Arabidopsis thaliana: one gene and its partners. The protein of the gene in region 1 purifies or fractionates together with the protein of each later gene. This does not show direct contact. Each region holds a gene or a part of one and is shown in the gene's direction. Other genes may lie near its edges. The genes, in order: AT4G14320, AT4G26230 and AT5G56710.

Evidence for each region.
Region 2: the proteins of AT4G14320 (region 1) and AT4G26230 fractionate together in Arabidopsis thaliana (co-fractionation; one large-scale study listed by BioGRID). This does not show direct contact.
Region 3: the proteins of AT4G14320 (region 1) and AT5G56710 fractionate together in Arabidopsis thaliana (co-fractionation; one large-scale study listed by BioGRID). This does not show direct contact.

What each region holds. Positions count from the first base shown.
Region 1 is NC_003075.7:8,241,142-8,245,887, reverse strand, and holds AT4G14320 (Zinc-binding ribosomal protein family protein), read left to right. Parts: upstream 1-1,977; 5' UTR 1,978-2,082; coding exon 2,083-2,085; intron 2,086-2,656; coding exon 2,657-2,836; intron 2,837-2,985; coding exon 2,986-3,060; intron 3,061-3,144; coding exon 3,145-3,166; coding exon of another isoform or gene 3,167-3,204; exon of another isoform or gene 3,205-3,458; intron 3,459-3,862; coding exon 3,863-4,047; 3' UTR 4,048-4,156; downstream 4,157-4,746. Other genes in the region: AT4G14330 (P-loop containing nucleoside triphosphate hydrolases superfamily protein), read right to left, coding at 1-320, 421-531, 621-728, 820-975, 1,052-1,660; AT4G14315 (uncharacterized protein), read right to left, coding at 4,715-4,746.
Region 2 is NC_003075.7:13,283,667-13,287,344, forward strand, and holds AT4G26230 (Ribosomal protein L31e family protein), read left to right. Parts: upstream 1-2,070; 5' UTR 2,071-2,208; intron 2,209-2,333; 5' UTR 2,334-2,359; coding exon 2,360-2,439; intron 2,440-2,607; coding exon 2,608-2,887; 3' UTR 2,888-3,125; downstream 3,126-3,678. Other genes in the region: AT4G26220 (S-adenosyl-L-methionine-dependent methyltransferases superfamily protein), read left to right, coding at 513-563, 641-865, 972-1,103, 1,190-1,480; AT4G26240 (histone-lysine N-methyltransferase), read right to left, coding at 3,345-3,444, 3,548-3,598.
Region 3 is NC_003076.8:22,943,105-22,946,855, reverse strand, and holds AT5G56710 (Ribosomal protein L31e family protein), read left to right. Parts: upstream 1-1,862; 5' UTR 1,863-1,919; intron 1,920-2,049; 5' UTR 2,050-2,088; coding exon 2,089-2,168; intron 2,169-2,573; coding exon 2,574-2,853; 3' UTR 2,854-3,149; downstream 3,150-3,751. Other genes in the region: c-NAD-MDH3 (Lactate/malate dehydrogenase family protein), read right to left, coding at 138-1,096, 1,259-1,418; AT5G56700 (FBD / Leucine Rich Repeat domains containing protein), read right to left, coding at 3,478-3,693.

The sequences.
Region 1 (4,746 bases):
AGAGATCTTAAAGCAGCAACTTCCTCTTCCTTCTTCTTCAGCTGCTTTTGTGCCTCATTCCTTTCTTTTTCTTTTTGCTTCTTCTCAGACTGGAGTTTGATAATGAACTCATCCATGGCAGCTATTCTTGATCCCAAAATCACAGCAGAAGCAGACTCATCACCCCCATACTTATCTTTGTTTGGAGTATGAGACCCACGAACTATGCACTTTGCTTTTGCCCCATACTCTAGAGTACAGAGAGTCTTGTGCATTTCCTTTGGATCCGGGCTCGCACACAGGATCATTAGAATCTTTGACTTGTCATCTTCAAAAGAGTCCTGCATTCAGAGAATAGAAACAACACTAAATATCTTCAAGAAAACCAAGCAACACGTAAAACATTTTCCAGAAGATAAAACAATGGAACAAGAATTTCACCTGGAGAAGCATGGTCAGCTTGCTGTCTCTAAAGGGTACATGAGAATCTCCATTTGCTATAGATTCCACAACTCGCTTCAGTGCAATATTTCCCTGGTTGATCTTAGCAGTCTGTTGAATAATGAGAGATATAAGTCAGTTGATATCCATAACTACAATAACTTTAGTAGAATCAAACAAATTGAGAGAGGAAACATTACTTGCATCTTAGCTTCAAATCCAGTCTGCCCAGCTTGGTCTATATTTTCAGAACCAGCCATGTCAACAAGCATCAATCTTCCCCCAACAGTTGGCACATCAAGTATGATCTACAAAAAGAAACAACCACACTAGTAAGTTAAAACAGAGATAAGCTGCATAAAGCTATGCATACACATCAATCAAGAAGATCGTTCTTACAATGCAGTGACTCCGAGAACTTCTTTCGTTACAAAGTGTACTCTTCACAATTCTCCGTTTCTCCACTTTGACAATTTCTTTAGAAATCTTCCCAGCCTCTGTCCCAGAAATAAAACTTGCGTTTTTCGCCTTTTTCCCCATTACTTCAAGCCTCACCTGTAACAAAACAACAAAGTACACACCTTTAAAGCCAATTCAATGTATACTAAAGTTATCAATCAAGAAACTTTACCTTAGTGCTTGCTCCTTTAGGCCAACCAATACCTAAATTGTTACTACTATTAGTCGAAAGAAGATCATAAATCTCCTCATTATAAACCTCAAGAACAGTAACTTGAACAAAAGTAACACCATCTTGATCAGAATCTCCCAATATATCTCTCAAAGAACGATACACAATCCCAGGCTCTTTCCCACAACCAAACATAGTATGACTCTTTCCAGCACCAGTAGGTCCATACATCATAATCGTGCATTTATTCCCAACTTTCACTCCTTTAATCCTCTCTTCTATAAACTTCTTGTAGAACTCTTCAAGACCTTCTTGCTCCGAGAAAGAAACACCGTCGAGTGTGAAGTCTCTGTACCCAACATCAGCTCTGACTCGTACCGTTTGATTATCTGTGTTGACTTGTAAGATCGAAGGTGATTTCTCTTTCCGGTCAGGGTAATCTCGGATCCGGCCGATTACTTCAACTGGATGCTCCGGTGGAGATGGATCTTTAGATCCGTCTGGGTTTGGGGTTTTTGAGTGGAAATTGAGACGTTGTTTTGTTTGTGGAGTTCTGATTAAGGTGTATTGAGTTTGATTTGATCTTGAAGAAGATGGTGTCGGTGCCATTGTTGAAGAAGTTTCGAAAGAGTGAAATTGAAATTGAGATTCAGAGAGCGTTAGAGAGAGAGAAAATGAAAAAGGGGATTAGGGTTTGTGAGTGATTCACGAGGTTTGAAGTTTGAAACAAAGAAACAAACATAACCGTTGTGTTGTATCTCTAAACGGCTAGTTTTTGTCCACGGGCCACTGATTATTAACAATTTTTATTTTCGGCAACTAGAATATATTTACTTTCTTTTAAAAAAGGGAAGTGAGATGGGCCTGACTTTTTGATTAAGTTAATGGGCTTTTTGTGTTTATAGAGGCCCAATGTTTGTAGTATTAGGGTTTTCTCAAATGTCTCTCTTATAAGCTCTGTTACTTTAGGTTTTTATTAAAGGTTTTGCGGCAGTGGAAGACGACGGCACGAGCTTCACCGAAGAGCGAAAATGGTGACTCTCTTCTCTTTCTTTATTTCTGCTAAATTTCTCCTTGGTTACTATTGAAGAACGAGATTATTGATTATAGATCTGCTGTGTGATTTTTCTTCTTCTTTAAGTTGTTTATTTCTGATTTTGCATCTTAAATCGAGAATTATTAGAGTCTAATTGTGATTTTTAGAATCTGTTATGTTGCATTCTGTGTTGTAAATTCGAAGATTCAGTTCACTTCGTCTCTGTGAAGAGTTTTAGCTCCAATCTACCAGAGATTCAAAATGATATAGTGTTATGTATCTTCATTTGTGTTGCTGCAATTCTGTTCTGATTTTTAGGAGAATTAAGAAGGATTTGTACTTCAGGGACTTGTAGGATTCACAAAATGGTTATCAATATTGACTAGTTGAGTAGTCAGATCGTATGGTAGCAATTAATTCTGAATGATTTAGGAGAAGCAGGAAATTTTATTAACAAGTTTTAGGGTTTGTTCTGAAGGGCGTATTTAGATTCACTTCTATGATCGTAATTAATTCTGTATGCTGTTGAAACTGTATCTTGTGGTAGTTTTAAACTTGGTTTTCTGTAGGTGAACATTCCGAAAACTAAGAACACTTACTGCAAGAACAAGGAGTGCAAGAAGCATACCTTGCACAAGGTGACGCAGTATAAGAAAGGTAAAGATAGCCTTGCTGCCCAAGGAAAGCGTCGTTATGATCGTAAACAATCTGGTTATGGAGGTCAGACCAAGCCCGTCTTCCACAAGAAGGTATACTCGCTTTTCCTTGTCTTGATCTCTAATTACTGTCTTCTATGTGAGAACCAATTTAGGATTTCAGAATTGACTCTGTGAAATATGTCTTATAGGAATGATTTGTTAATTGGACCTTGCTCATTATTTGTCTTTCTTTGGAACAGGCTAAGACAACTAAGAAGATTGTGCTGAGGCTTCAATGCCAAAGCTGCAAGCATTTCTCGCAACGCCCGATTAAGGTAATGTCTGCGACATTCTTTACCTTTGTTAATCACTCTTTAGTCTCAGTTCTGTTTCTTACACTTTGTGTGTGGTTTTTGCAGAGGTGCAAGCACTTTGAGATCGGTGGAGACAAGAAGGGAAAGGGAACATCTCTCTTTTAAGTTGTTGTTTCATCTATCTACTTTTTTTTGTTTTGTTTGGTACCTGTCCTGCTTCAATACTGTGATATACTTTGAATCTACCAGAAATGGTCCTGGTTTTTAATTTAAATAGGACTTGGTCTTATGGATGTCTTTTAATTTGGTTAACCAATCTTTCTTCATTAGGCTGCCCTTGAGTATTCTCTATAACTTGCGACAAAGTAGACATAACACTCTTTAAGTTCTAAAAACCACTTTCTATTTTCGGATCTCGAAAAATCATTTATCGTTTTGTGCTGCAAATCAGTGTTATATATGAGCTTGGCAAATTAAAATGACATATACGTATAGAAATGAATTGATAATACTAAATATTATTTGTTTTCTTCTTTTAACTTCAGCCATACTAACTTTCACTAAATTTCTTAAGAGCATACAGAAGTTTCTCCTCGGTATATTGGTGGTTCTATATTCCCCGCAACGTGAATGGAAAATGAAGGTTCTATTTTGGCTATATGATAATCATGCCATTAGCTGACCCGAAACTAATGTGTTACAATAAAACCAAATTATATAAATAGAAGAACATGTTTCCTGGCTCCTTATTGCACAAAAGAGAACATGAACAACTCTTTTTATATTACCATGATAGTCCTATGTGTTTTGGCCTTTGTGTTAGTTTTAATTGAGAGCTGTGCGGGCAAAATGGTAGATGAGATGATATTCTCTTGTGTCTGCTGTGGTGGTCCTGGCTGCTGTGGTGATAGAGGAGAAGGACCTGTTGGTGGTGGTATTGACAATGAACCGGTGAATGTAGTAGTGGTGGTGGTGGAGCCAGGCAGCCAGCGGCGGAAGATGTGGTGACGGTCAAGGATGCTACTTCAGTTTTTCTTTTTTTACTTTATTATACTTAGATTCTGGTACTATATATATTATGGGTATAGATAATTTACACTAAAGTTTTATTTCCGTTATTTAAAATTCGTGTTTTATTTAATCTCTAATTTTCTGTTTCCAAGTCGAATTCCTCTGTACTAATTATACGGCCTTTTAATTTTACAATATGAATAGCCATTTTCTACTAACACATTCTTACCTTTTAGAGGTGTTAATTTTAAGGTAAGTTTCTTCTCTACAATTACGTAATATCATTCAAATCTGTTCATGCTGACAAAAGTTAGGTACTTTTGTGTATATTTCTCGATCATTGACATTGTCTACTACGCTAATATCTAAGGAAAGTGGCATCGATTCTACTTGCTTGTAAAACATACATCGCGATGTAAGTCAAATTCTCTAATAATGTAAGAAACGAAGTGAGAAAGAAAGATAAATCCAAAAAATTTACTTGCAAATCAATAGAGATCCAAACCAACTGCGCATGCGTTAGTCAATTGATATATTGTATATAATAGAACAAATACAATTTTTGTTTTTATAAATGTATAACCAAAAACGTAAGAGCAATACTATCGAAATAAATACGTACTGCATATTACACGATAATAATAGAAAGAGATTTGATGTTTGATCACTTGGAAGTAAAATGGAGATAGAGAAACA
Region 2 (3,678 bases), 5.0 Mb from region 1:
GATTGTAGTGGATGATCGGAAACTAAGACTTCAGTCATCTGGTATTCTCCTCTCTCTCTCTCGACCGGTCCTCACTATAAGTCTTCTCTTTGTAACATTTTTGTGATCATTTTGGATCGTTAGTTTTGTAGTTGTTCTTTTTTTTTATGAGTGTTTTGATAGTGAACATAAACTTGATTCATAAGTCAACTGTATGCTCAATCAATTGGTTTTTGAAGAAGTTAGTTCTAAGAATCAAGCAATTGGATAAGATAAAATCAGATAAAATCTACACGCCTTTTATCAAGGCAAAGCTTATAGTGTTTAAAGCTGTTTTCCTTGAAAACTTGAAAGATCTACACTTTCAGAAAAAAGTTGTAAACTGCAGCAACCCATAATCAATAAAGAACCAGTAGTAGTTTTCTTCAGTTATGCAAGCAAAGATTATATGAATTAGCATGGCTATTTAATATATGCTTTTTTCCTTGAGCAGAGACTTTACAGTGTTTGAGGAACGAAGATTGTGAGACACAATGGCTAAGGATGAAGCCAAGGGATTGCTGAAAAGTGAAGAGCTCTATAAAGTTTGTCCTTACATACTCATCTCTACGTTAGTTCACTTCTCCATTTCTCTGATACATTTCTGTGAAAAATGTTGTAGTATATACTGGAGACTAGTGTGTACCCACGCGAGCCAGAGGTTCTCAGGGAGCTTAGGAACATTACTCATAACCACCCTCAAGCTGGTATGGCTACTGCACCAGACGCTGGCCAGTTGATGGGGATGCTGCTGAATCTGGTAAATGCAAGAAAGACTATCGAGGTTGGGGTTTTCACTGGATACTCTCTTCTCCTCACTGCTCTTACGCTACCAGAAGATGGCAAGGTATTTGCATAGATATGACCAAACCAAAAGAAAAAGTGTCATGATGTTTTTCGTTGTTTTGCTTCTGTATCATTTCTGCAACTGATTTGGTACACGAGCTCTGCAGGTTATCGCCATTGACATGAATAGAGACTCGTATGAAATAGGATTGCCGGTTATAAAGAAAGCTGGTGTTGAACACAAAATTGATTTCAAAGAGTCTGAAGCTCTTCCAGCCCTCGACGAGCTTTTAAACAATGTACAACTTCATACTTCTTTGTCTTTCAAAAAAAGAATTAGTATGTATCCTGAGATGGTCTTTTTGTTTTGATGTTTGTGATGCAGAAAGTGAATGAGGGTGGATTCGACTTCGCATTTGTGGATGCAGACAAGCTGAATTATTGGAACTATCATGAGAGGCTTATTAGATTGATCAAGGTTGGTGGGATCATAGTGTATGATAACACTCTCTGGGGAGGATCAGTTGCTGAACCGGACTCGTCCACGCCCGAGTGGAGGATAGAAGTCAAGAAAGCAACCCTCGAGCTGAACAAGAAACTCTCGGCTGATCAGCGTGTGCAGATCTCGCAAGCTGCGCTTGGCGATGGTATCACTATTTGCAGGAGGTTATATTGAGCGAGTATTGTTGTTCTTTGTGATCTTTAGGGTCATATGATTGTGAGCCCTTTATATTGAGCTATTGTGATGCAAGAGTGTTATTGTTCTATGTGATATTTTGGTTCCTGTGTGAATGTGAACCTTTTCTATCAAGTTTGTGGATTTCTTCAAATTTCAAGATTATAACAGACAGTTACGAAGAAACACAACTCATTTTATGTTTTGTGTCTTTTGGCAAAACTCCAAATTCTGAACATTGCTCTAAAATCTAATATAAAAAGTAAAAAAATGAATGGGGCGTTCCGAGAATCGAACTCGGGACCTCTCGCACCCAAAGCGAGAATCATACCACTAGACCAAACGCCCACATTGATATATAGTTTGCTAGCTTTTAATACAATGTATATTAAATAATTTAGTTTTGTGATATAAACAGTAAACAGAACAAGATATTTTCACCCAAAGTTAAAAAATCCAACGTTTGTTCAAAAATAAGAAAAAAACTATCCAAAGTTAAATTATCAAATGTTAAAAATCGTTAGACGTTAATCACAATATAAAGGAACTCTTTTTTTTTTTTTTGAGTTAAGAAACACTTAGTTGGGCCATAAAAATATAGGTCTAGTAGATGAAAGGCCCATAAAATCAACTAGGGTTAGTTCTTCTTCTTATAGAGCGCCGCATATAAGCTTCATCCTTCTCCGTCACCACCGGCTCTGTATTTCGGCATTTGTGGAGAGAAGAAGGTACTCTCATCCCTTTCTCTTTCTTATCTTAATCTCCTTTTTTAAAATTTGTGACAAAGTAAAATGAGCTAATCTCGTCTTTAAGATCATATGTCAAAACTGAATTTGAGTTTTGATATATTCAGGTAAAGAGAGAAGATAGAAACATAAAATGTCGGAGAAGAAGGGAAGGAAAGAGGAGGTGGTGACCAGAGAGTACACCATCAACCTTCACAGACGCCTTCATAGCTGGTAATTTCCAAAACACCAAAAACACTTTTGTCTTATTGCTTCAAAGCTTTTACTGTTAGATAGTGGAATTGGAATGTTGATAATGAGCTCTTAGCTAATGTTTTAATTCGATTGCTCTCTATGGATTGTGACATTGAAATGTTTGATCTTCTTTGTGTGTAAAACTAGTACCTTTAAGAAGAAGGCTCCAAAGGCGATCAAGGAGATAAGGAAGTTTGCTGAGAAGGAAATGGGGACAAAGGATGTGAGAGTGGATGTTAAATTGAACAAGCAGATTTGGAGCAAAGGTATCAGAGGTCCTCCGAGGAGAATCAGAGTCCGAGTTGCTCGTAAGAGAAATGATGATGAAGATGCAAAGGAAGAGTTCTTCTCTCTTGTCACTGTTGCTGAAATCCCTGCTGAAGGACTCTCTGGCCTCGGCACTAAGATCATTGAAGAAGAGGATTAAACTATCTTATAGTAACAACAACATTTGATCAGATTTTTCGAGTTTTGTTTTTCGAATCTTTATTGGAGAGAACATTTATCTTCTTGAATCCTTAAGCCTTGAATCATAGTATGCGATTGAGACAGAATCTCAGTCTTGTGTCGTAAGTAGTCTTCAACAATCCTTACACTTGTTTCGGTAAAGTTTGAGCATCTGGTTCGATCATGATAATATCTGCAGCTATGAATAAGTTTATGCACCTCTCTCAAGTGAATTGCTTGAATAAATCAAGAGTATTACATGTATGAACTGGAATCTAGTTCGAGTCAATCATGAGTTTTTAAACAAAACGAACTTCAGAGTTTCGTATCTATTTACAACAACAGAAGAATGTTCTTTAGGGGATAATAGAGTCAAAACTTGCACTCTTGCTATCACAAATTCACTCTGACGAGGTTTGAAAGTAGCTATTATCTCTCTACCGTGCTTTATATGCATACATATAGTTCCTCAGTTTTTTCACTTCCTCAGATGACTCCTCTAGAAGATGGTCCACGTATAGACAAATTCCAGCTCCACTGCAATTTCGAAGTACAGAAAAGTTGATGCAAACTTTAGTTTTACATACACAGGGGCATATAAAACAACACAAGGTTATATCTAAGCGATAGATACACATACCAAAGCGGCCCAAACGGAAGCCAGATAGCATCCCACCGGAATTTCGGAAGCCTAGAACACGGGTGAGATTTATAAGCATAAATTTACAAAGAGCACGAATGGAAGGAATAGACAAGAAATGTCCTTCATGT
Region 3 (3,751 bases), on another chromosome or scaffold:
TCAGAGTTTTTAAATGTATCTGTGAACCTCAGCGTTTATTATGTAAGTTCCCATTATTTTTCATGAATATAGAAACACAAACTTATTTGTTTGCTACATTGTTTGTGCCATGACTATCATAGTTTTCAACTTTTGGTCTATACATTGAGACAGGAATAAGCTAAATCCTTCTCTTCAGCTAGCTCTCGTGCAGAGTCATCCATTTTCTCCCTCGAAAACTCGTCTATACTGAGTCCTTGTACGATCTTCCAACTCCCTTTCTCACAGATAACCGGAAACGAGTAAACCAAACCAGGTGGTATACCATATGAGCCGTCAGAACAAACACCCATAGAAACCCAAGTTCCTTTAGGGGTTCCAAGAAACCAATCACGGATATGGTCACAAGCTGCACCAGCAGCGGAAAAAGCACTCGACTGTTTCCGTGCTCTTAAAACAGCTGCACCGCGTTGCTGAACTTCCACGATAAACTCGTTCTTCAGCCAGTTGTGATCTGTGACTAGTTCTTTTAACGGTCTGTCTCCAGTTTTTGTAGAGACTGTTGCGTGATTGGTGTCGGGATATTGAGTTGAAGAATGGTTACCCCAAACGATCACGTTCTTTACACTGCTCACGGGAACACTTAGCTTATCTGCAAGCTGAGCTAGAGCTCGATTATGGTCGAGTCGTGTCAGGCAAGTGATATTTTCTTCCGGGATTGATGGCGCAAACTCTTTTAAGATCAGAGCATTAGTGTTTGCAGGGTTTGCGACAACAAGAACCTTGCAATCATCTGATGCATAACGCTCTAAAGCCGAAGCTTGAGCTTTATATATCACAACATTTTTCGACATCACATCTTTTCTTTCCATGCCTGCTATCCTTGGGAATCCGCCGATCATTATCACGATATTCACATCTTTACATGCTTCAACAACATTTGTTGTCGCGATAACGCCTTTGAGAAGAGGGAAAGCTGAATCTTGAAGCTCCATTTTCACAGCTTCTAGTGAACTTGAAGCTGGCTCTATATCAAGTAAATGCAGAATCATGGGTTGATCTGGACCTAGCATAATACCTCTTGCAATCATTGGAGCAATTGCATATCCTATGTTTCCTGTTCAATAGAAAGTTCTCAATTAAATTAAGAACAAACGACCATAAAGGTAGGGAGTAGTAGATAAAAGACTCCAATAAAAAAACACTGAACCAAACCAAATAAATTGATAGAATTATAAATCAAAACATAAACCGGATCGTTTTTTGTTTGAGTTCTTACCTGCTGCACCGGTAATCAAAACCCTTATAGGATCTTTCTCAATGTTTAACAAATTACACATGTATATTATCATTTTCCATGACAAACCAACACAAAACAGTAGAACCAAAACTTTCTGAATCACAAAAGTATAATTAATTTCTTCTCCAACGAACTCCATTGTTTTCCAAGTAAAAAAGATAATAAAGCAACGAATGAATGTCATGCATTCCAAAGTTCAATTTATAAAACCAAAAAAAATAATCAAGAAGACATAAGGAATCTATGAAAAGCTTCTAAGAGGACATAACCTGATACTTAACAAAACTTCGTCTTACAAAAAATCTAAGTCATGCAACAAAAACAAGGAATCTATAAAAAGAAATGTAGCCAAATAAAGATCCTCAAACTTTTATTTTTGTTGGTTAACATGGGTGATTAATTAATCGAACCAATCAGTTTAAATTCGAGTAAAACATTTACTTCATATGTATTTGGGCCGTAAATGGGCTACTAAAATAAGAAAGCGTAAGAGGGAAATGCCAAGCATAATAGCACAAAAAATAGGCCCATTAAAGCCCAATCATTTATTTATTTTAGGGTTAACTCAAAGTGCCGCATATATATGCTTAGTTCTCTTCCTTCGTCCCCTTTCTGTCTCTCGGCGTTCTTCAATCGAAAGGTACTACTCTCTCTCTCTCTTTCTCAATCTAGCTCAATTCTGTGTCCTTGACCTAGCTTTGAACAGATCTGTTTGATTTCCGGTGAAAAGAATCGATTTTGAAGTGGTTTTTTGTAATGGGTAATCGCAGGTAAAGAGTTTGAAGAAGTAAGTCACAGAGAAAGAGAAGATGTCTGAGAAAAAGGGAAGGAAAGAGGAAGTGATTACCAGAGAGTACACCATTAACCTCCACAGACGCCTTCACAAATGGTAAGATTTCACTCTTTGTGTTCATGTTTTGAGCTGCTTGTTGGTTAATATCATAGGGTTGTAATGAAATTAAGTTAGCTAATCTTTTTCTAAATGTAATCAGACGTTTAGTCCAGAGAATCTGATCTTTTGAAATTCATGGTGTTATTGAATTCATGGGGAAATGGTATCTATTGTTTTGAAAAATCGTATCAAGTGTGTTTTGTTACTTAAAGTAAAAATTTGTACTGATTGTTTTTTGGATTTACTATCGAAATTAGTCTTGAAATGAAAGGGTATAGTTCATTTGATATATCTTGTAAAAGAGAATTAAGATTAGAGTTTGGTTTGTGGAATGTGGTTTTTTGGTGGGTTTGGTTTTATGTGATTAAGTATCTCTACTTATGTATTATTGGTTTGTAACAGCACCTTTAAGAAGAAGGCACCGAAAGCCATCAAGGAAATCAGGAAGTTCGCAGAGAAAGCTATGGGGACTAAGGACGTTAGGGTAGACGTGAAATTGAACAAGCAAATCTGGAGCAAGGGAATCAGAGGTCCACCAAGGAGGATCAGGGTTCGTGTTGCACGTAAGAGAAACGACGATGAAGATGCGAAGGAAGAGTTCTTCTCCCTTGTCACTGTTGCTGAAATCCCTGCAGAAGGACTCAGTGGTCTTGGCACAAAGGTCATCGAAGAGGAGGATTAAGAGAATCAGTAGAACAAGTTTTGTTTGGTTTTTTACTTTTGTTGCTGTGTTTCAATTAAAAGTCTTGACCTTTCACTTTCTTCATTGTAGTGCATCTTGAATTTACTTATGCAGTTTATTGAAGAGACCCATTTTCTTCTTCATGATTGACTCTTGTTTTGCTTTGGAATTTTCTTTATGCTTGTTAATTGTCGAATCTCACATTTACACAAAGTAGATCGTAGGAATGATCTGTGTATAAAATTATGCTAGATGTCGTCCAAATTATTTTTTATTTTTTACTTTTTTTTGACAAAAAAAATAAATCAACTAGGTTTAACTTTGAATCAAGAGCTGTTGATAAGATGTCTTGCGCTGAGAAGTACAGCTGTGTTCACCTTCGCTACTTTCATGCTCGGATCTGTGTAATCGTAGCTTCTTAAACAGGCATGAGACTATTTGACTGAGCTTCCGAACTAGTAGTTTACAAGGCCATAAGGCAGAGACATACAGATTGTAGTTTACCACATAAAAGCCAGACGATAGATTGTTCGAAAACAAGTTCCCACATTCGAAGAAGAAATACAAAAAACCATACTCTTAGATCATTTTCAAGTTTCTATTGTGAAGCATATCTCATAAAACTCAAATTCCATGATACCGTTCTGGTCTGCTTAAGATTGATGAAGATTTCAAGCAACGAGCATGTTTGAAGATATAACTCAAGAAATCCCTCTCTTCAGGTGTTCCTATGTAACCTGCAAACTCAAAAGTTTCAAGACTCTCCAACAAACATTTCGGGACGGAGCTCTTATTATTTTTCCAGCGAACCGGTTCATAATCCCCCAAACTTGACGGATACTAAGATTAAAAAGAAAAAGTAAAGGTTAGAATACTACACTATAGTGTGAATTTAGAC